2 linked regions of the Oryctolagus cuniculus genome follow. The protein of the gene in region 1 binds, or shares a complex with, the protein of each later gene. Links are inferred from orthologs where the notes say so. Each region holds a gene or a part of one and is shown in the gene's direction. Other genes may lie near its edges.

Region 1 (10,580 bases):
CCAGCTTTCGCGTGCGGCCAGGCAGGCGCTAGGCAGAGACCCCAGCAGAGCCGGCCGCCTCTTAGAAGCCCATGCACACCGCCACCTGGGCCCGCGCCCTCCTCGCCCCAGGCTTGCCTGGGCGGCGCCCGCCCCAGCCGGCCCCAGGACGGGGCTACACAGCTCTCCCGTTTCTTCCTATTTTCGAAAAAAAAAAAAAAAAAAAAGCGAGGGTGCTTTAAACATCTGCCCGGCCAAGAGTCTGATCCGGGCACAGGGCCGGGAAAAGTCATCTTCCCGGTTCGGGGTTGGCAACACGTCTCCCACTCCCCTGCCTCCAGCGCCTCGTTCACAGACAGAGCCAGGGCAGGGCACCCCCCGGATGGCTGCGGCCTCGCCCTGCGAACAAGTTTGCCCTGGCGCAGAAATGTGGGGGGCCGGCGCCGAGCCTGGACTGGGGGTGGGAGTCCCTGCATCTCGGGACCTGGCACACGGAGCCCCCGACCCCCGCCCCGTGTCGACCCCGGATCCGTGGCCCCGATCGATCAGTGTCCCCCCACCCCCGGTGGAGGAACCCCACTTACCCCACGACGGAAATCATCATGGCAGCCACCACCAGGTAGTTGGTCTGGTAGTACAGCAGGTTGCTCACCACACGGTTGTTCCATTTGGAAATGTCCCTGAAGTCCGGCCGGGCGAAGCGGTCAGAGCCCGGGAAGAAATCGTCCCAGGCGCGGAGTGGGGCGATATTCACGTCCATGTCTTCTTGGCTTTGGGTTCTTCGCCTCCGGAATCTGGCGGCGGCGGCAGCGGCAACCTATCCGGGTTAAAGAGCTGACAGCGGCTCCGTCTCGATCGGCTCTGCGGTTGGCGAGCAGCCGAGCAAGGGAAATTGGGAGCGGGAGGGCGTGTTTTCGCTCCTTTACTTCTCGATTGGCTCCAAGGGGTTGGTTACGGGAAAATGGGGGCCCCGCGACAGAGCAAGGCACCGAGCACACGGAATGGAGATGAAATGGCACTGAAAGCAATCAGCGGAAATCCAGTCTGCAGCAAGGTGGCAATGCCTTCCCTGACGGTCTAAATAGCAGCCCCCTTTTAACACCAGCGTTTAACCTAGGAATGTGTTTTCTGCCATAGAGAAAAAAATGCGCAGCTGTTCAGATGCTGATCTACGAAAAATGGAAGGAGACCACGGTATCACAAGAGGATGAGCTGTATTTAAAGACTGATTCTTAGTAACTTCTGTCCGATCGACCACAGTACTCATCTGCTTTCTGTTTCACCCTGAGTCACTAAGCGTGAAATCAGATGGGCAAAACGCGAAATAAGGAGGAGAGAAGGAAAGGGCTGTTTTGTTTTTTCACTTCTCTATTTTTGTTCTCCACCTCTATTCCTTTTGTGGCAAAATTATCGAACTGCTATGGCATTCTAAAAAAACTAACCCAGTAGGCGCACAGGTCACTGAAAGCCAACCATTGCTTGTGGTGAACTGATGGTTCTGCACCCTGTATTTTCTGAGCAGAAGCAAGACTTCCACTCCAAAGCAGCTTTCTCAGTTTTATCCCCATATTTGGTGACAATTTTCATTAAGGGAGCCCGGTATTGTAGTAGACAAGGTAATGGTTTGTTTGCCAGCCTCAACAATTGGCAAGAGATGTATTGTAAATACTTCTCTTCCAAGGCCCAGAGGGTCATCTTCGTTTTAGTTATGGGGCTGGTTGGTGCAGTAAACCTCCTCTTCTCTCAGATTCCTGAGCCAAAAGGACAGCCATCCCTTGGAATCCATGGAGGGTTGATTCTAGAATCCCCTAGAGAGCCAAGGCTGCGGATACTCACGTCCTCTACAGAAAGTGGTGCAGTGTTGATGTAGAACCTTCTCACATTCTCCTGTATATTTTACATAGCCTCTAGATTGCTAACGACACCTAATGCAATATTGTTTAGGGAATAATGACAAGAAAATGGTCATGTTCAGCATAGGTAACTTTTTTTAAACTATTTTTTAAAAACTATGTAAACTATTAAACAAACCATGGTTTGTTGAATCTATAGATGCAGAGACTGTATTTTGGTTAATTTCATAGTGTGTTAGGCAGCATGTGGAGATGACCATGTCTAAGGTGACAGGTTCTCACAACTTGGAAGTGGTACTGTTTTAACAAAGATCCAATATTCGTAAATTTTACCAGCTCACAGATTTTCAGAAAACTGGAAAGCACCAAGATATACTCGATACAAAGTCTATAAGAGATAAATTAACATTCCTGGTTGATTCAGAGGTAGTAAGAAACTGACTGTGACTCCAGTGAAATTCTTTCTGCTGCTGGTGCTTAGGAAAGCTCGGTGGCTGAACTGAATTAGTGCCAAGACAGATTCTAGGTGCTGCTAAAACGTGAAAATATCCCGAGTTCTCACACTTTCTTGGCTCTGGAAATGTGAGGGTTAAAATCAGAGAAAGCAAAGTTAGAGTCCTAGTTCCTCCCTCTCTGGCAGGTGACTTTGGGAAAATTTCTTCACCCCCTGCCCCACCAGCCTGAATTTCTTCATGATAAAGTGTGGAGAATAGGCCATCTGCCCATCTGCCACATAGGTCAGGATAAATGAAAGACTGGATGGGAAGTGTTCAGTGTTAGTAAAATAGCACAGTGTTATCTGTGGCGCGATCTACACCATCCTTGGCTCTAGCCCCAGCTGCCATTGCTAGAAGTCAGGTGACCAATAGCCCAACACCTCTCTCTCTCTCCCTCTCTCTCTCCCTCTCCCCCCTCCCTACTGTCAGATTTCCCCTGTCAATAAACCCTCTCCCTTAATTCTGGTGTTTGGTATGTTAGATATTTTGGTTCTTATTAATAATAGGACCGCCCATAATAATTTTTTAAATGATTCCTGTGCTTTTACAATGTCGTCCACTGACTTTTCTCTATTTTGTGGCAATGTTGTGGTGGTGGTTTGCCAGGGGAAGATATAGACAGAGGGAGAAACGGTTGAGAATGTTCAGGACATTGCCAACTGACATTCTAAGTGGTTTCAAGGCTCTGTGAAAGCACTGTGGAGTCAAAAACAGGGAGAATGAGGCAGCCCCTCCCCGCCTGCAGGGATCCTGCAGTGCAGCAGAAAGTCTATTTAGATGTGAGAGTGCCAAAGCGAGATGTGCCAGGCCTTGGTGTTCAGTTACAGGAAGTTAGAGGGTGTGGAGGAATTTCCTGGGGCTCAAGACTCTCCCCAAGCCACACTGTGAGCAAGCTGAGAAAATGATCTGGTCTAGATGAGCGGAGCATGGGAGCCGCAGGAGGGTCCCACACCTGCGACCCAGAACTCTCAGCTTCCAGCTGCTCTGAACTGCATCACCAGAAGCCGTCTGGTGACAAGGCGACAACTCATCATCCCAGACCATCAATTTGCTCAGTGCATTTGTATTTATTTGTTGAAACCTCTAAAGAGGTTTCAAAACTAAACAAAACAAAAGCAGGGCAGGCATGCTGGTGCAATGGATCAAGCCATTGCTTGTGATGACAGCATCCCATGTCAGAGTGCCCTGGCTCGTGACTTTGGCGATAACTGAGGTGTCCGTAGCTTTTCCCCAGGGGAGGTGGCTATGATGCTTTCGGCCACTAATAGAATACTATTTTGAAAGCGTCCCTGTGGGAGGGGCAGCCTCTAGGAGATCATTTTGATAGGCAAGGATTTCACCTCCATGGAGCTGTCTGGGCAAGAAGTGATTTCTGAGTTGATACAGAAACATGTGATCCAGAAAGGGGCTGGTGTCTCCTGCTGTGGGCTGTTGACTCCACTGCCGCACTCACTGCCTGGCACTGACTCAGCTCAGTGAAAGCCGTTGATGAACCCAGCTGGGGATGCTAAGGACAAGGCTTCCTTAAGGTTCAGTGGAGAAGACCACAAAGAACAGAGTAAACATCGCACTAATGTAACAGCAGCTACGCAGGCTGCGTACCCATTAGACAAAAAATACTTCTCCATTTCAGTGGTTCTTAAGCTTACGACTTCAGAATCATCCAGGGCTGGATTAGATTCACAACAAATTCCCAAGTAATGTTGATCAGGCCTTGTGTTTTGAGAACCACTTTGCTTAATTCTCAGTCTTAAAAGGCCAAAAACAGAAACAACCAAAAAAAAAAAAAAAAAAAAAACCAACCAAACAAAAAAAAACCAAAAAAACAAAAAACAAAAGGCCAAGCATTTTTTAAAATGACTGCTTTAAAAGAAAGTGCCCAAGGTCCTATAGTTAATTACTGAGAAGTAACAACTTAAATTTAGTTCTTTCTGACTTCAAATCCACTGGTGTCCTTCTCCAAAGAAGGATATGTCCGTGTGTTTGAATATATTTCTCTACCCCAGCATTCAGATTCACCTATACATGTATACACACTTCTGACACTGGAAGAAAGCAGTTAGAATGTTGTCACACGTATCTTTAGGTGATGGGATTATGAGTGTTCTAAGTCAGTTTTTAATTTTTCCTGCTTTCTAAGTATTTTTCTTCTATCTAAATACATATATTTATCTGATGTCCTCAAAGTTTTCCAGTATAGTTCCATTTTTGCTGAATTTATCTGACAGAATGAAGTGACACTAAAATACTGATTTTTTTCAAAAAGTAAAAAAATAACAAAATTCTATCCTACTCCTGTGAACAGATTTAGATAAATCTGTTCTTTTTTGAGAGGCAGAGAGAGAGAACTTCCATCTGTTGGTTCTTTCCCCAGATGGCTGCAACAGTTGAAGCTATGCTGATAAGAAGCCAGGAGCCAGGAGCTTCTTCTGGGTCTCCCACGTGGGTGCAGGGGCCCAAGCACTTGTGCCATCTTCTACTGCTTTCCCAGGCCACAGCAGAGAGTGGGATCAAAAGTGGGGCAGCCGGGACTCAAACCGGGGACCATATGGGATGCCGGCACTGCAGGCGGTGGCTTTACCTGCTACCCCACAGCTTCGGCCCCTTTAAATCTGTTCTTAAAGTGTGGACCTACACAGGCAAAGATTTTTGGGACGGTTCTTTGCTCCGGAGGCAAGCTCTAGCATACTGGAGTTAGCCTTCCAGGCATTTTTTCATTGAATATACCAACATTATATGTAATTCTTTATCAGCATATACATTGTATAAAAACAGAATGCTTTGCGTCCACATTTCACCCTGCGTGACATTACACAGGGCATAAGAGTTATCTAATGAGGGGTAGCTAATTAAGATCCTAATTGCAGCGGGACGCTTGCTTTCAAGCCCAGGGGCGCTAAGGCGCAGCCGACCCCTCCCCATCGTTGCAAGCCCCGCCCTCCCACAAGTCCCGCCCCTTCCCGCCGACTCCGCCCGCCGAGAGGGCACCTGGGAAGAGGCGGAGAACAATATGGCGGATGGCGAGGAGCCGTAAGTACCGGGGCTCTGCCGGCGCGCCGGGCTGGGCTGGGTTGTGAGAGAGCGCGGCGGAGGGCGGTCGCCGCCCCCACCCGGGGTCCCCTCCACTCCCCACCCCGTCCCCTCGCCCCCCATCCTCTCGCGGCGCCCAATGTGTAGCGTGATGCTGACCCTTCTTTTATTCTCTCTTTCTTTTAGGGAGAAGAAAAGAAGGAGAATAGAGGAGCTGCTGGCTGAGAAGTTAGTGCTGCCGGGAGGCCGGGGCCCTCTCCGGGGACCCCCGCCTCCCCTTACCCCAGGCCTAGGGGACCAGCCGCAGCGGGCCCATGGGGCTGGGAGGGGGGCACCCGGAGCTCAGGCCGCGCGGCCTCTTCCCCTGACCCCGGTCCCGCAGCAGCCCCGGGGGCCCCCGAGGGCCACTCCAGATTTGTGCCCCGGCGGGCGTCGGGGCCGGGGTGCACCTGCAGGGCCTTCAGGGGCCGCCGGGGCGTCTGACTTAAAGGTTTTGCGGAAGGACCGTTGTGCCCCCCTCTTCCTCCATCCCAAATTGTCATATCCTTGAGCTTGTGAAAAGGGAATCCAACTTACACACACACCTAACGGACACGGGGCCGTTTTGTTTTTGCCTTTCGTAAACACTGAGACAATAGTGCACACTGTGTGTGAAAACTGTGTTTCAGGTACTGTACTAAGCACGTCAACCATTTCTGCGAAATAATTGACTCTTAAAGGAGGGTGTTGACACCAACAGCTTATTTTTTCCCCACTTACCATACACCCCGTGTCTTACCAGATGATTAGTTTTGTGCTGGTGGGACAGATTTACACAGTGTTTTCGGACTGAGCCAGCGCCACATAATTTCTCTCCTCCCTACATGGGAGTGGAAAATACTCTCGCAGTGGGTGTGGTGAGTTTGTAATTTCTCTGCCAATTCCTGGTGCTTTGGTCATCCTGAGGTCTCTTCCCCCAGAACTTGAATTTCAACTGCTTAGAGTACTGGAATGACAGACTTTCCTCACCTTTGATTTCCCTTCCACTTTTGCACAAAGTGCACGACATGCCCCATCCTTTATTAAGTCCTCTGTGTTAATATCGCTTTATCCTCCTGGCCCTAAGAAGTTGCTCCCAATAGCCTGCAGTTGAGGTTTATGGCTATTCAGTAATCTGCTCAAGGTCATGGTGCTATTAGTTGTGGAGCCAAACCCGACTGCGCATCAAGACCTATGGTCTTTATTACTATGCAATACTTCTGGGTGTTACCAACATACTTGAAAGTAGAAAATTAAAAAATAACCACAACCAGATATGAATCTTGGCACTGATAAGACAGTTTGTACACTTTGGTAGAGAAGTCCCACTTTATGCAGTTGTATATCCTGAAAGGTTTCTAGGTGTGATGACAAGCTGAGTTTTTTTTTTTTTTTTTTTTTTTTTTTTTTTTTTTAACTGTAGTGGCAACAGAAACCACCTCACAGGACTCAGTAATTTTTGAAAATTTGGACTCCTGTTTCTGAGAAAACCATGTCAAAGCTTCTGTCATCAGAAATGATCTTTGAATCACACCTTTCAATAGAAAATAAAGAACACATGGGTGGTGGTAGATTTGAAGCCTCAGTTCTTAGAGTGTCCCTTTTGTTGTTTTCCCATGCATATGACATTGCCAGATCAGCTGACTTGAAAGAACATACTGGGGAAGGCTGCTGTGGTCTTGTGTAAATACCACATGTAGACAAGTCCATTTCTTACCCATAGACCAACATCCCAAGTTTGACCTTGGATTACTTGAGGAACAGGTAGACTGATTTTATTTTGTCAGGTGGATGAAATAAAAAGAAAAAAAAAATAGAAGCAATCACAGGCAGTTCTTAAGTGAACCGTATAATAGACAAGTGATAGGAGAGCATAGACATGACCACATTGATCATTCCCTTTCTGTTTGAGCAGGTCTTTTCATTTGGGGAAACCATAATAACTGTAGGTGTGGCTTTTTTCCGGACTGATCTTTGCAGCTGAATTTACTGTGTTCTGTGCAGAATGGCTGTTGATGGTGGGTGTGGGGACACTGGAGACTGGGAAGGTCGCTGGAACCATGTAAAGAAGTTCCTCGAGCGATCTGGACCCTTCACACACCCTGATTTCGAACCGAGCACTGAAGTGAGAAACGTTTATTTTTAAATAACTGCTCTAATAGTTTTATGTTTCAAACATAGTAAAATGCTTCCTTTTTTAATTTGCTCTTATGAAAACTAATTTTCTTATAAAACGTAGTATTTTGAAATACTCAATTGTATATTTACAATTTACTTGAGTGAATAATATTTGAGTAATTTTCACATTTCTCACGTAATATAAGTTGAAAGAGTTCAAGAGGAAAATAACTTCATAACTTTTAAAAATTCTGTTATACTTAAAACTCCAGTTCAAAATGATTTGAGACAAATTCCTCTTCAGTAGCCCTACTATAAGATAAAAGTATAGATATGCTTATTTAAATTTTGGAATTTAGTTGGATTATCTTAGAATTGAATATATTTAGTTGCATGTCAAAAATTATATGAGTGCTAACAGTGGCATAGAATTTTTGACTGATAATGTCTGACTTAAAGAAAATGTTCAATTAGATACCTGTTTTTCATTAGGTATAGGAAAGTAAGAAAAGTATTTTTACAGTAAGTACTTGTGTCCTTTTGTAGCTTTTTTTTTTTTAAGAGATACTGTTTTGAAAGAGAAATATTGTAGTACTCTTAATGTTAAGACTTCTGAGTTTGGCACAGTGTCTTACCTGAGTAACTTTTCTCCTTTAATGTTATATAGAACTGACAGTATTAATTCTGCTTTTTTTAGCTGATATACCTTATTTTCTTTGGTTTCTGATACTTTTTGCCTGATAATTTAAAATGACCATTTCTGTTAAATAAATGTTTCAAATTGTATTTCTGAAGACATGTAGTTTTCTCAGTTTTTCTTCCCATCATGTTTTATAAGTTTACCTTGCTATTATTGTTCTTACCTTATTTTTTTAGACTTTTGAACACCTCAGTGCTTGATCCTGGATTTTTAAGATTTTTAAACTTTGTGTGATTTTTAAGGAGTCAGTTCTCAATTTGAGGCTTTCCATTCCCTTTCAAAAATTAAGGAAAACAAGCGAGGATAGTTTTTCTTGTAGTCAATAGATGTTTAATTTCAGACAATAAAAGTCAATTTAAAAACAAATTCTCTGAAATCATTAAAGTTTTAGAGTTTCTGGTTGTATATAATTCATAGATTTGAAATGATCTGTAAAATATAAAAGGATGTTCTTTATCCTTAATTGCATTTTTGGTGGAAATGTTGAAAATTTTCTTATGACTTGTTGTTTGTGGATGGTATTTATGATTATCAGCAGATTTTAATGTGACTTTTTGTTCTTTACAGTCTCTCCAGTTTTTGTTAGATACATGTAAAGTGCTAGTCATTGGAGCTGGCGGCTTAGGATGTGAGCTCCTCAAAAATCTGGTAATACACATGTATATATAAAATGTCTCTCCCCTCCCCCTTTGTGATAAATAAAGCAGTTTGCTTTTTTTAAATACTAGGAAATATCTTTTTTTCTTTTTTAAAAAAAGCAATTTATTTCAGAATAGGTTTAAATTTATGACAGGAATTGTGAAGTGGTACAGAGTTCGCACATACTCTACACACCAGCTTCCTTTATTGTTAATATATTAGTATATTTGTCAGAATCTGTACACCATGCCCAGCTTCCCATTATTAATACCACATTTCAGTAAACTATATTTATTACAATCTATATCCAGCATCCCTTAATATCTAGCACTAGGAAATTTCTTTATTGTGTTTTCTTTTAAGATTTGTTTTATTTATTTGAGAGGCAGAGTTATAGACAGAGAGAGGTTTTCAATCCACTGGTTCACTCCCCCAGTGGCCGCAATGGCTGGAGCTGGGCCAACCCGAAGCCAAGAGCCGGGAGCTTCTTCAGGTCTCCCACATGGGTGCAGGTGCCCAAGGACTTGGGCCATCTTCTGCTGCCCTCCCAAGCACATTAGCGGGGAGCTGGATCAGAAGTAGAGCAGCCAGGACTCGAACAGGTACCCATATGGGATGCAGGCAGAGGCTTAACCTACTATGCCACAGCACTGGCCCCTATTGTGATTGTTAGCCTTTTCTTTCCTTTTTTTTTTTTTTTTTTTATTTAAAGATTTATTTATTTCTTTGAAAGGCAGAGTTACAGAGGTGTAGAGGCAGAGAAAGAGAGATCTATCTGCTGGTTCACTCCCCAGATGGCTGCAATGGTTAGAGCTGAGCTGATCCGAAGCCAGGAGCCAGGAGCCAGGAGTTTCTTTTGTGTCTCCCGTGTGGGTGCAGGGGCCAAGGACTTGGCCGTCCTCTGCTGCTTTCACAGGGCATAGCAGAGAGCTCTATTGGAAATGGAGCAGCCAGTGCCCATATGGGATGCTGGCACTGCAGGTGGCAGCTTCATCTGCTATGCCACAGTGCCAGCCCTGATTGCTAACCTTTTTTTTGGAGCTTTTGTTAGATAAGTTTAACAGGTCAGATTCTATATGGTAATTTAAGTGATAATATGACTTTGAAACTTTGTAGACTCTAAAGTTCTCAGTTATATAAAGTCATTGATAAATTTATGTTCATTTACTTCTCTGCTCTTTATTGAGCAAATTTTGGTACTTTCTTGTGAAGTGCTCATTAATTTCAGTGAAATAAATAAGAAAACAGATAATTCAGATTTTATTGTGTGGTTTCAAATAATTTAGTATTTTTCTTCTCCAAATAACCCAGATAGGTGGGTAGGACGTTCATTGTCTTGTTTTACCTAGACATAGGTTATGTTGAGGTTAGAGATGTTAAATGACTTGTCTGAGCATTTTGGATTGTAGTTATGTGCCTGCAATCTAATCTGGGTCATCAGTCCTTAGTTAAGTGTTCTTTTTCACTAAGACATTAGCTCATTATTTGACTTAATGAGATGGTAACTTTTTTTTTTTTTTTTTTGCCAGGCAGAGTTAGACAATGAGAGAGAGAACAGAGAGAGAGATATAGACAGTGAGAGAGATACAGAGAGAAAGGTCTTCCTTCCATTGGTTTACTCCCCTAATGGTTGCTATGGCCAGCGCTGCACCGATCCGAAGCCAGGAGCTGGGTACTTCCTCCTGGTCTCCCATGCGGGTACAGGGACCCAAGCACTTGGGCCATCCTCTGCTGCCCTCCCGGGCC
Region 2 (10,374 bases), on another chromosome or scaffold:
AGACAGAGAACCCGCTCGCTATGGCGTGCCCCTGTTCACGATGGGAGCCCACGTGACCTAAACACCCCAACACTGCTGGCACGGGGACAGGTTCCAACATGTGAGCTATGCAGGGAACAGAAACAGGGACACCCCCCTTCCATGCCCCAAGCTTTTGGGGTCCAACTTCCAGGGAGCCGCTGCCCAAGGCGGCAGGGGTGGACAGGATGGGAAGGTCTCCTCCTCCTCTCCTATGGGAGGAGCCTGAAGGGGAAGCCTCCCCCTGCCCCCAGTGCCCCGGAGAGGCCAGGGCCCCAGCTCCGCGGAGGCCCCTGGAAGGACAGGACTGAGGGGACAGGCCCACAGGCAGTGAACCCGGCACTGGCCCGGAGCCCCCAGAGCCGCCCTCCTCACATCCAGTCCTCTAAGTCTTCTGTGCCAGAGCTAGTGCAGGCTGGGGTTCCGGGAGAGCCTGGGACGCAGGCACGATTCACCTGGGGACCACCGTCCGCTCCCTCGCTGCTGCTTCGCGGCCACTGTGCCGGCTGGGGGCAAATCCCAGGTTAGCTTAACGTCGGTGCCTCACTCACCTCACCCTACAGACACTGGCTTTGCGAGGTCCTGGTGAGGGTGATGGCAGAACACATACCGAGGAGGCAGCCTCCCCAGGCGCAGCCACGAACTGACCTCCTGTGTGACGCAGGCCGATCCACTCAGAGCCAAAGACAGGTGTCCAGGCTGATCAGCCCTCCCTCCACCCAGGGCCTGGCCCCAGCTCTTATCTCCTATCGCCAGCTCGCCGCCACCAGCTGACGCAATATTTACCCAGCAGATGTGCGCCCAGCACCTGCCCCGCGCCAGGGCGCCCAGGACTCACTTGGGGCCACAGGCAGTGGCCGCAGGGGTGCAGCACCAAGGAGAAGGCCCGAGGGGGTCTCCCCCAGCCCCCTCCCCCAGGGCTGAGCGGTGGCTAAGCCTGGGGGAGCTTCGAGTCTTCCTGACTTCCCTCCCACCGGCCCAGGGACAGCAAATCTGACAGGTGTCATTCACCCTCTGAGCCTTCGCTGACTCCTGGCGAACCCCGGCACGGGAAGGACTCGCACTCCACTCGCTAGGAACAGAAAGCTCCCACCAGGCTTTAAACACATTCACGAGAGAAAAGCAGGTGCACACGTGACCGGCGAGGACAGGACAGGGCCTCTGCACCCCCGGCTCTCCATCCGTCGAGGCGGGCGACTCCGGCCTGGCCGCTCCTCCAGGGCGAACCCCGGAATGAACGTAGCACAGCACAGCCCCGGAGCCTCGAGCGCCCCGCCGCTCCCCACGCCGAGCTCGGGCGCGCAGGCTCCGGCACCCGCGGGGGGCCCCGCCCCCGCCCCGCCCCCGGCCGCCACTGGCCAATCAGTCAGGGCCGTGAAAATTTGTCCCCACCCCCAGCCGCCGCTCTCTGCCAATCAGCGAGGGCCACACGACGCCCCTCCCGGCCCGCGCACGCAGCTGTTCGCGAGTCCGGCTCCAAATAAAGTTCTTCGCCGCTTTGAATCTTTTTTTTAAAGCGCCCGCTGCCTTCGCGGCTGTCGCAGGAGAGACCGAGTCCCCGCCCCGCCACTTCCGGTCCCGCCGCCCGGAGCCGGTGCGGCTGTGAGGGGCCGCGTCTCGCCGCCGCCGCCGGGCCGGGCATGGTGTTGGGCGCCGGGCCCGCCTCGCCTGTCTCCGGGTGCCCAGGTGAGGAGCGGCCGCGCGGCCCCGCGGGGGCCGGGGCCGGCTGCGGGCTCCCTCAGCGCCGGTGCACCGGCGGGCCTGGGCCGGCCGGGAGGGCGCTGACCGCGCCGGGGCCGAGAGGCCCGGCGACGTGAAGGGGCAGGGCCGGGGCCGCGGCCGCGCGAGTGACAGGGGCCGGGGCGCTGGCCTCGCCGGGCGAGCGAGCGGCGGTGGCGACGGCGGGCGGCCGCGCCGGCCACTGGTGGGCGCCGGGCCCGCGCCCAGCGGCACCGGCCCGCGCCCGCCCCACGTCGCGGGGCTGCTGCTGCATCGTGCGGGGCCAAGGTCAGCGGCCGGACGTGGCCGGGACTCCGGGCTGCTGCGGGGGTCGCGCTAGGCCGCGCCCCGGGCGGGGGGGGGGGCTGGGCTGGCGAGGGAGGGTGTCTGGCTGCGGAGCCGGAGCCCACCCGGGTTTGCCGGTGCGCGGGCTTGGGTGTGGCCTCCCCCGGCCTGGACTGCTTCCTCGCCTGGGCCCGCCCCTCTCGGTGCCCTCGGCGCGGGGTGCGGGGCTTCAGGAGTTGGAATCCAGGCAGGACTCTGGGCTCCTCGAGGAAGGGTAGGATTGGGTGGTGCAGGAGCCCAGCCCCGGTGTCAGAGGGGACGGAAGCTTCTGGAAGTGCGCAGGGGCGTGTGGAGGAGCTGAGGGGCTGGCCTGCCAGCTGCAGAGGGGGGTGAAGGCCCTGGGGACCCCCACCTGGGTGTACCTGCGGGCCCAGGTCTACTGCTGAGAACCAAGCGGCCGGGCTCCAGCCCCCTGGCCAGGCACTGGCTTCCGGAGAAGAGGAGTAGGGGCAGGACTTGTCCCTGCCCTGAGCGGGGCCCGCTAGGAACGGGGGGTGGGGGGGGCTCTGCTGTGCTTGCACTGGGGCTTCTCCGTGGCAGGAGTTGTCCACGTGGGGGTCCCCACAGCGGGCCCTGACCGCCCCTGGAGGCCCGGCTTTCCCACAGGTGCAGCTGTGCCGAGTGACCTGAGGCTGGATGTAACCCAGGTCCTCTCCTCGGTGCAGGCTGAGAGCAGGGCCCACGCAGAGGAGCCCGGCTGGGCCGGTTACGAGCCGTGGCGTTTGGAGACAGCTGGTCTGTCCTGCCTGAACTGCCGCCTTAGCGCGAATGGCAGGAAAGGGGAAGTTTGGTTTTAAATTCGGTTTTCAAGAAGTGAGGCGATGGCCGGCGCCGCGGCTCACTAGGCTAATCCTCCACCTTGCGGCGCCGGCACACCGGGTTCTAGTCCCGGTCGGGGCACCGGATTCTGTCCCGGTTGCCCCTCTTCCAGGCCAGCTCTCTGCTGTGGCCCAGGAGTGCAGTGGAGGATGGCCCAAGTGCTTGGGCCCTGCACCCCATGGGAGACCAGGAGAAGCACCTGGCTCCTGGCTTCGGATCAGCGCGGTGCGCCGGCCGCGGCGGCCATTGGAGGGTGAACCAACGGCAAAGGAAGCCCTTTCTCTCTGTCTCTCTCTCTCACTGTCCACTCTGCCTGTCAAAAAAAAAAAAAGAGAGAAGTGAGGCGAACGGAAGGGAAGAGGATCCAGAGCGGTGTCGGCTGACCTCCTGCCGGTCGGAAGGATTCTTTTGCCCGAATTCTTCTGCGTAGATTCAGTTTCACAGCCGTGGAGACGTTGCCAAGCTGCGTCTCTGGTTATCTCTGTGTTGGCTACAGAAGACGGAGAAAAAGGTGGCCCCGATATGCTTTGATTTCGAAGAATTTGGGGAGAGTAAGCTTTGTGTTCCATGAAAGACAAGGCAGTTGGTGCCCGGTGTGTTCTACGAAGGTCCCCAGCGTATTTTTTTTTTAAGATTTTATTTATTTATTTGACAGGTAGAGTTACAGACAGTGAGAGAGAGACAGAGAGGTCTTCCATCCGCTGGTTCACTCCCCAAATGGCCGCAACGGCCGGTGCTGCGCCGATCCGAGGCCAGGAGCCAGGTGCTTCCTCCTGGTCTCCCATGCAAGTGCAGGGGCCCAAGCACTTGGGCCATCCTCCACTGCCCTCCTGGGGCCACAGCAGAGAGCTGGCCTGGAAGAGGAGCAACCGGGACTAGAACCCCGTGCCCATATGGGATGCTGGCGCCTCAGGCAGAAGATTAACCAAGTGAGCCACGGCGCTGGCCCCCGGTCCCTGGCGTATTAAAGGCAGCAAGCCAGGATCTGAGCTCAGGGGCGCGTGGGCATCCCCTGCGCACAGGACTTCAGGGCGCGTGGGCAGTGTTGCTGAAATGAGTGGCCACTGTGCTCGGCCCCTCTGCAGCTGTTGGCCTAGGTCGTCGGGGAGCTGGTTTGGACCACGCGTGTGGCCCTGGGGTCCTGCCTGCTGGTCTTTAAGCACTTTGTGCCTTTGCCTATCTGTTACTTTTTGCCTTATTTTCAATGCTAAGGTCAGTTAGAGGACAGAAACGTGTTGGTTCTCGTGTGGGGCATCTGGTGCTTCCAGCTGACCCCGGGGGGATGGATGCAGACCTGGGTCCATCCAGAAGTGACCCTGACAAGGTGCTGGAGCCTGGGCACATGGCAGTGGGCTTGGCTGTGGAAGCCAGCACTGCTCTCTGCTTCCAGTCTGCTTAGGGGTTCCTGATAGGTCACTCCAGGCGCTGCCAGGGCGGGGAACTGGGCTGCTGGCTCCAGGAATTTGTGGGCTGAAGCCCCCACAGGTGTCCTGACTCTTCCCCTGTGAAGTGAGTTCATCAGATGCACTGCTGGCTCGCTGGGCCTTGGTGAAGGTGTGTTCCCTGTTGGGTCCGTGCCCCTGTGGGGGCCTGCTTGAGCAGGTGGCGTGGTAGAGAGAATGAAGAAACTGGTGTTGTCTTCACAGTTTTGTCAGCTTTACTGGGTTACAGTTGTAGCTACACTAAGCTGCACGTTTGAAACATGAAGTCAGTCGGTCCTGACGTACGTATGCCCTGAAACCATGACCACACTCAAGATAAAAATCACGTCTGTGATTCCCCAGGAGAGAAGCTAGTGTTTCTGTGGTGACTGCTTCTAGCAGTGAAGTGACTTTGGACAGTCCACTTCTGGGGTTCCCGTTTTCCCAGGGTCCACTTGGGAAAATGGAGGCAAGTCAGGGGTAGGAGTGCTTCCCAGATTTGCAATCCTAGGGGCCCGCGAACTCTAGTCTGTAAAGCTCCTTTTGGAACATTTAAATCCGTGCTGCTTGCTTTTTACTTGAAAGGCACAGGGAGAGAGAGAGAGGTCGATCTTCCATCTGCAACAGCCAGATCTGGGCCAGGCCAAAGCCGGGAGCCAGGAACTCCATCCAGGTGTCCCAGGTGGGAGGCCGTCATCCACCGCCGCCCTAGCCGGTAGCAGGAAGGCAGAGCGGCTGAGACTCATGCTGGCGTGGGATGTGCACATGTGAGTAGCAGCTGAACCCTGCACCACGGTGCTCGCTCCTAGAGCAGTGTTTGTTTAGAGCAGGTGGGTGTATCTGTGTTCCCAGCACGGCAGGGGCCATGCACAGTACCGAAGGTCATGTCAGTGTTTTGTTTTCATACACAAATGATAAGTGAAGTCTGACAGTCTAGAGGACTCGGACGTAACACGCTACACAGAAGAGCTGGGTCAAAATGGTTTAAAATACCAACGAGGAGGGGCCGGCACTGTGGCGCAGCAGGTTAATGCCCTGGCCTGAAGCACTGGCATCCCATATGGGCGCCGGTTCTAGTCCCAGCTGCTCCTCTTCCCATCCAGCTCTCTGCTGTGGCCAAGATCGCCCAAGTCCTTGGGCCCCTGCACCCACGTGGGAGACCCGGAAGAAGCTCCTGGCTTCGGATCGACGCAGCTCTGGCTGTTGCGGCTATCTGGGGAGTGAACCAGCAGATGGAAGATTCTCTCTCTACCTCTTTACCTCTCTCTCTCCCTCTCTCTGTAACTGTCTTTCAAATAAATAAATGAATCTAAAATACCAGAGAGGAGAGGGCTGATTTCTTCTGTCGGGCTTCTAGGACCTTGGCCTCCGAGCAGCTCCGTGCTTCCGTCAGGGTGTTCTCTGGGAGAGTGGTGTAGGAAGGAAATGATGCGAACACAATTGTGCAGAAATGTTGAGCTGGTAACCAGATTTTGTCTTTAAAACAGGGTTGTAGGGTCCCTCTCTGTTGTAGAGGGGTGAGAGCAGCAGGAATCTCGGGTTCACGGCAGTTCGTTGGGAACAGGGGCAGGCCCTAGTCCAGGTATTGGTAGACTCCGATGTGCCCTCTGCTGGGGGATATCGGTAGTGGGGACGGTGTGGCGTGTGCATGGGGACTGGCGATATGTGGGAGATGGGAGATCTCCGAACCTTCTCAGCTTTATTGTGAACTTAAAACTTAAAAAAAAAAAAAGCCTAAAAATCGGTGGTGTTTCTTTCCCTTGCCCTGAGCAGTCTGGGGGCCCTTGAACACACAGTGGTGTGGGGCGTTCACTGTAACTCAGTCTTGATGTTGACGTCGCCGGCCATGTTAGTCGCCCACACCATGAGCAGACGCGGAGGTGCGGATGGGCTGTCTACGAGGCCTGTGGTGCGGCTTCTCCAGAGGCCGTGGCTCGCTCATCCCCAGCAGGCTGGGCTCTGGGCCACACGCCGGGGGCACAGACCCCCAGGCTGGGAGGGACAGGCTGCAGGGGACAGCGGGAGGCGTGTGCAGCACCACTGGGGCTCCCCCGACCACGCTCTCCACCAGGGTGCAGGCTGGGGCCTGGCACAGGCGGTGCGCGGTGAATGTGCAGCTCACAGCTCTGCCTTCGTAAACTTTTCATTCCGGCTCTAGAAAGCGATGGCCCACGGCGTAGAGTACTCAGATCTTCGTGGAGGAACCCGTTCTTACTAACCAACGCAAAATCCCTCGGCGCGTTAGAGAAGGGAGTGAGAATGCAGCGCGGGCGTGTCTTCGCGCCTGGCCTCTGACTCCCCCTGCCCTGCTGTGCTCTGCTCCCAGGGGAAAGGTGGCAGCGATGCTGACACTGGCCAGCAAGCTGAAGCGGGACGACGGGCTCAGAGGGTCCCGGACGGCAGCCTCGGCGGCGGACTCCACGCGGAGGGTCTCCGTGAGAGACAAGCTGCTCGTGAAAGGTAATCCCTGTCTCTGAGCTGTGTGTGCTGGAAGCTCTCTGGGACACGAAGCAGGCTGTTGCTGAGCAGAACTTCCTGTTTAAACGGGTTTTCAAATGCGACGTGCTTACCGCTTACAGCAGGGCTTTGTGGGACGCTGATGGCGGGGACTGGCGTTAGGAACTGCAGGAGTCTCACCTTCGCGATGTCCTTTGTTGGGCCTTCCAGCGTGCAGGTGAAGGCAGGCCCAGGCGTGGCCCGTCTCAGTGCTGTCATCGTCCTCTCCTCCTGCCACTCAGCACCGTGGCTCCCAGTCTGTAAGATGGAGGGAGCTGAACTGGGTGGTCTCTTGGGATCCTTTCCTGTTTACTCTGTCGAAGTGTGAGGCACGCCCTTGGCAAATGAGCTCCCGTCACGGGCACAGCAGTGTCTTGGCGCTGCATCCGTTTGCACTGTCCCTGCTGGAAAGGAAGCCGACTTTGAGAAGCTTTGCAGACTTGCAGTGCGTGGGGATGCGTGGGGGTGTGACGTGGGTTTGCCTGTGTGTGTGTGACTTTCCCCTTCATTCACTGGGTTTACTGCGTGCAGGTGCAGGGGGGCACTTTGGGCTCATGAAGCCTACAAACTGTAACGAACAGTTGCTGCCTTGAAGGGGTTGTGCTTTGCAGCACTTGTATTTTATGACAGATGTTTACACTTCTTGAAGCTGGAAAGCACTGAGTTGAGTAGTGTGTTCCAACTGCCCGTTTTCACGTGGGGTCAGAGGCAGCATGGGATTCTGGCATTCGTGTGACTGAAGGGCTCTGACGGCAGGAGGCTGGTGTGTGGAAAGTGCACAGGGTTTGGCCTTCCCAGACACACATCACCACCAAGCGGGGACGGAACGGGGACAGGAAAGCACTGGTTTATAGAGACAAGAGCGTGTTCTTCCTTGTTCTTTCCCTTCCTTGTTCTTCCCCTGCTCCGAATCTTAGCTTTGGCTTATCCTTTGAAAAAAAAAAAATAGATTTACTTATTTATTTGAGAGGCAGAGAGAGAGAGGTCTTCTATCCACAGGTTCACTCCCCAGATGGCCACAATGGCCGGAGCTACGCCGATCCAAAGCCAGGAGCTTCCTCTGGGTCTCCCATGTGGGTGCAGGGGCCCAAGGACTTGGGCCATCCTCCACTGCTTTCCCAGGTGATAGCAGAGAGCTGGAGCGGCCGGGACACAAACCAGCGCCCGTGTGGGATGCCGGCATTGCAGGCAGTGGCTTTAACTGCTCTGCCACAGCATCGGCCCCTGGGTTATCCTTTTTATCCTCTTGGCCTTACCCACTGAGTCCAGGGAACACTAGATCATACTCAGTTTGTCACAGCACTGGAAGGTTTACCCTGCTGGGATCAGGGGTGACACGTGGGCCAGAAATGCCCGTGCGTGTTAGGAAGGACTGGAGCCTCCTTTTCCGATCCGGGCATCCAGTGAGCCAAGTGCAGGCTTGGGCGTGCTTCTGCGGTGCCTTTGTGGGGCAGGTTTTACGCCAGGGGTTGCAGTGAGAGCTGGGCCCCCGAGGAGGAGCAGGTAGAAGCTGACAGGTGACCGGGGTGACCGGGCCCATCTTCCTCAGCCTGTCATGTACGCGGTCGTGCAGCTTCTGAGCACTGGCCACCTAGGGCCAGGCCCTTCGCTGGGCACCGTATTCCGTGTGTGCTGCCGTGTGACACACTGCAGCCTGAGGAGTTTGCAGGTAACGGAGACGTATTTCTCACGGGTCTGGAGGCTGTGAAGCCGCGTCTGGGCTCCAGTGGGGTTGGTGTGAGTGAGGGCCGCTCTCCTTCAAGGTGGTGCTTTGTTCTTGCATCCTCCAGGGGGGAGAGCGCCGAGACCGCGGGGCCGAAAGCCCTCAGCCAGTTCTCTCCAGCCTTTGTGGGAGGCACTAATGCATTCGCGAGGGCGGAGCCCTCACGGCCTCATCACTTCCCAAAGGCCTGCCTCCCAGTACCACCAGTGAGGGTTACGCTTTCAGTGGATTTGGACAAATTGAAACCATAGCAGGCCCTTTACCGGGTCATCCCCGTTTGCCTTGCAGAGCCATGCCGAGTGGGTGCTTCACTCTGCAGCTGCAGAGCGGAGACCTGGAGCGGTTAGGGATGTGCCCAGGTTGCAGCTTTAGCGCAGCAGGGTAGCCAGACCCATGCAGCAGGTGGGCTGGGCTCTCCAGCAGATGGAATCGCAAGTCCCCAGAAGCTCATCTCCAGGGTCCTGCTCAGGGGCTCACCTGGGAGCCCTCAGGTGGCTCCAGGACCTGACAGGCTCGGGGACTCACTGGGGCTCTCGAGGCTGGACTCCGTACCAGCTCCGAGGCAGAGGTCTTCGGCTGGGTTGACAGGGCCCAGCTGAGGTTCCTTGGCCTTGTGAGACCCATCGAGGAGTGATGCAGAACCAACCCCTGGCCCCTGTTCCCCTCCTCCCTGGACTCTGGTGGTTATTAAGTTCCGAGAGCCCAAAGCATTTGCAGTTAACAGCAGTAGACACAGTGTCCCCCACTCTTGCAACCTGGGCCAGGCTGGGCTGGCCGGGTGGTGAGTAGTTTGGGCCTGGATGGAGGTAGGGTGAGGAAGAGGGTGGGCCTGACCTGGTGGAAGAGGAGGAGGTGTGCTGTGGTGGCTGGTGGCCGCCTGCGCTGCTGTTTGTTCGGCCTGCCCTTTGCAGGCTTGTTGCCCGCGTCTGCGGCGGTGGCCCGCAGTGCCCTGGGGATTTGTGCGGTGGAATCGGTGCTGTGGAGGGTGGCAGAGTCCACAGCCGTCGCAGGGCTGGCTGCGCAGCAGGAGGGGTGATGATGGGGAGAATCCTCTCCCAATGAAACTCCTTTTGGAACCCTGAGAAAAGTAGTGTGTTGGAGGTCAACAGGACTGGCACGGTGGGGGTTGTCATCCTACTTACTTACAGGGATCAAGAGGGGTCCTAAAGTCTGTGTGTGCGTGAGTGTGCATGCCTGGGGCTTAATGCCGCAGGCTGGTTCCTGGAGGGGCAGGTGTTTAAGGACGCACTCAGCGGGATACCTGGGGGGGGGGGGCAGGCTGGGCAGCGGGAGGCTGGAGCTATGAGGAGCCCCACTCGGCCTCTGCCCTGGAGCAAGCGGCTTTCCTGCTTGCATCCATCAGCCCTCAGGTGTGGGGGGTCTGGGGTGGGCTCTGAAGGGCTGGTTGCTGAAGGCCATCTGTCCATAGCCCTTGCTGAGAGGGGTCCTGTGTTGCACCTTCGTGGGTGATGCCCACAGAGAAGGGCACAGACACTAACAGGCCCACACAGGGGTCTTAACTGGCGCATTGCCTTGCTGACCCGTGATGGACCCTGCACGGCTGAAGTGCTGCCTCCGCAGATACTTCTGAGAAGGTGTGCCCAGCTCTGAAGGGCGGCAGGAGACGAGTCAGCTCTCCCTCCCTGGCTCTGGCCTCCCAGAGGCTCTCGGGCTGTCTGAGTGGCCAGCCGGCCGGGCAAGGCCCGCACACTGGCAGAGGTTCTTCCCCGGGCATGCTGGCCTTTCCTTGGGGCCCCTGGGCTGGCTCCAAGGGTGCCTTCCGGCCTGGAACTGGGGAGATGCTTGGAGCAGCAGTTCTCGGAGCGTGTAGAC

What was found. The genes of interacting proteins can lie anywhere in the genome.
Region 2: the proteins of UBA3 (region 1) and UBE2F are in contact, whole or in part, in a crystal structure (PDB 3FN1), measured with the Homo sapiens proteins. The link is inferred for Oryctolagus cuniculus from reciprocal best matches to the Homo sapiens genes UBA3 and UBE2F. Residues at the interface, in NP_003959.3 of Homo sapiens: Ala401, Thr403, Thr405, Leu406, Glu407, Gly408, Asn410, Arg411, Thr412, Ser417, Val418, Thr419, Ser420, Ile421, Arg424, Thr425, Gln442, Glu443, Ala445, Ala447, Asp448, Val449, Thr451, Pro452, Gln453, Thr454, Leu456; in NP_001265234.1 of Homo sapiens: Thr27, Arg28, Arg29, Val30, Asp34, Lys35, Val38, Lys39, Val41, Ala42, Glu45, Val54, His55, Phe56, Pro57, Asp58, Pro59, Asn60, Leu62.

What each region holds. Positions count from the first base shown.
Region 1 is NC_091441.1:80,253,261-80,263,840, forward strand, and holds the start of UBA3 (NEDD8-activating enzyme E1 catalytic subunit), read left to right. Parts: upstream 1-5,253; 5' UTR 5,254-5,339; coding exon 5,340-5,359; intron 5,360-5,545; coding exon 5,546-5,587; exon of another isoform or gene 5,588-6,027; intron 6,028-7,381; coding exon 7,382-7,502; intron 7,503-8,762; coding exon 8,763-8,843; intron 8,844-10,580. Other genes in the region: ARL6IP5 (PRA1 family protein 3), read right to left, coding at 564-739. UniProt on the Homo sapiens protein: Catalytic subunit of the dimeric UBA3-NAE1 E1 enzyme. E1 activates NEDD8 by first adenylating its C-terminal glycine residue with ATP, thereafter linking this residue to the side chain of the catalytic cysteine, yielding a NEDD8-UBA3 thioester and free AMP.
Region 2 is NC_091434.1:2,366,316-2,376,689, reverse strand, and holds the start of UBE2F (NEDD8-conjugating enzyme UBE2F), read left to right. Parts: upstream 1-3,843; 5' UTR 3,844-5,066; coding exon 5,067-5,089; intron 5,090-6,648; coding exon 6,649-6,782; intron 6,783-10,374. UniProt on the Homo sapiens protein: Accepts the ubiquitin-like protein NEDD8 from the UBA3-NAE1 E1 complex and catalyzes its covalent attachment to other proteins. Together with the E3 ubiquitin ligase RNF7/RBX2, specifically neddylates cullin-5 (CUL5).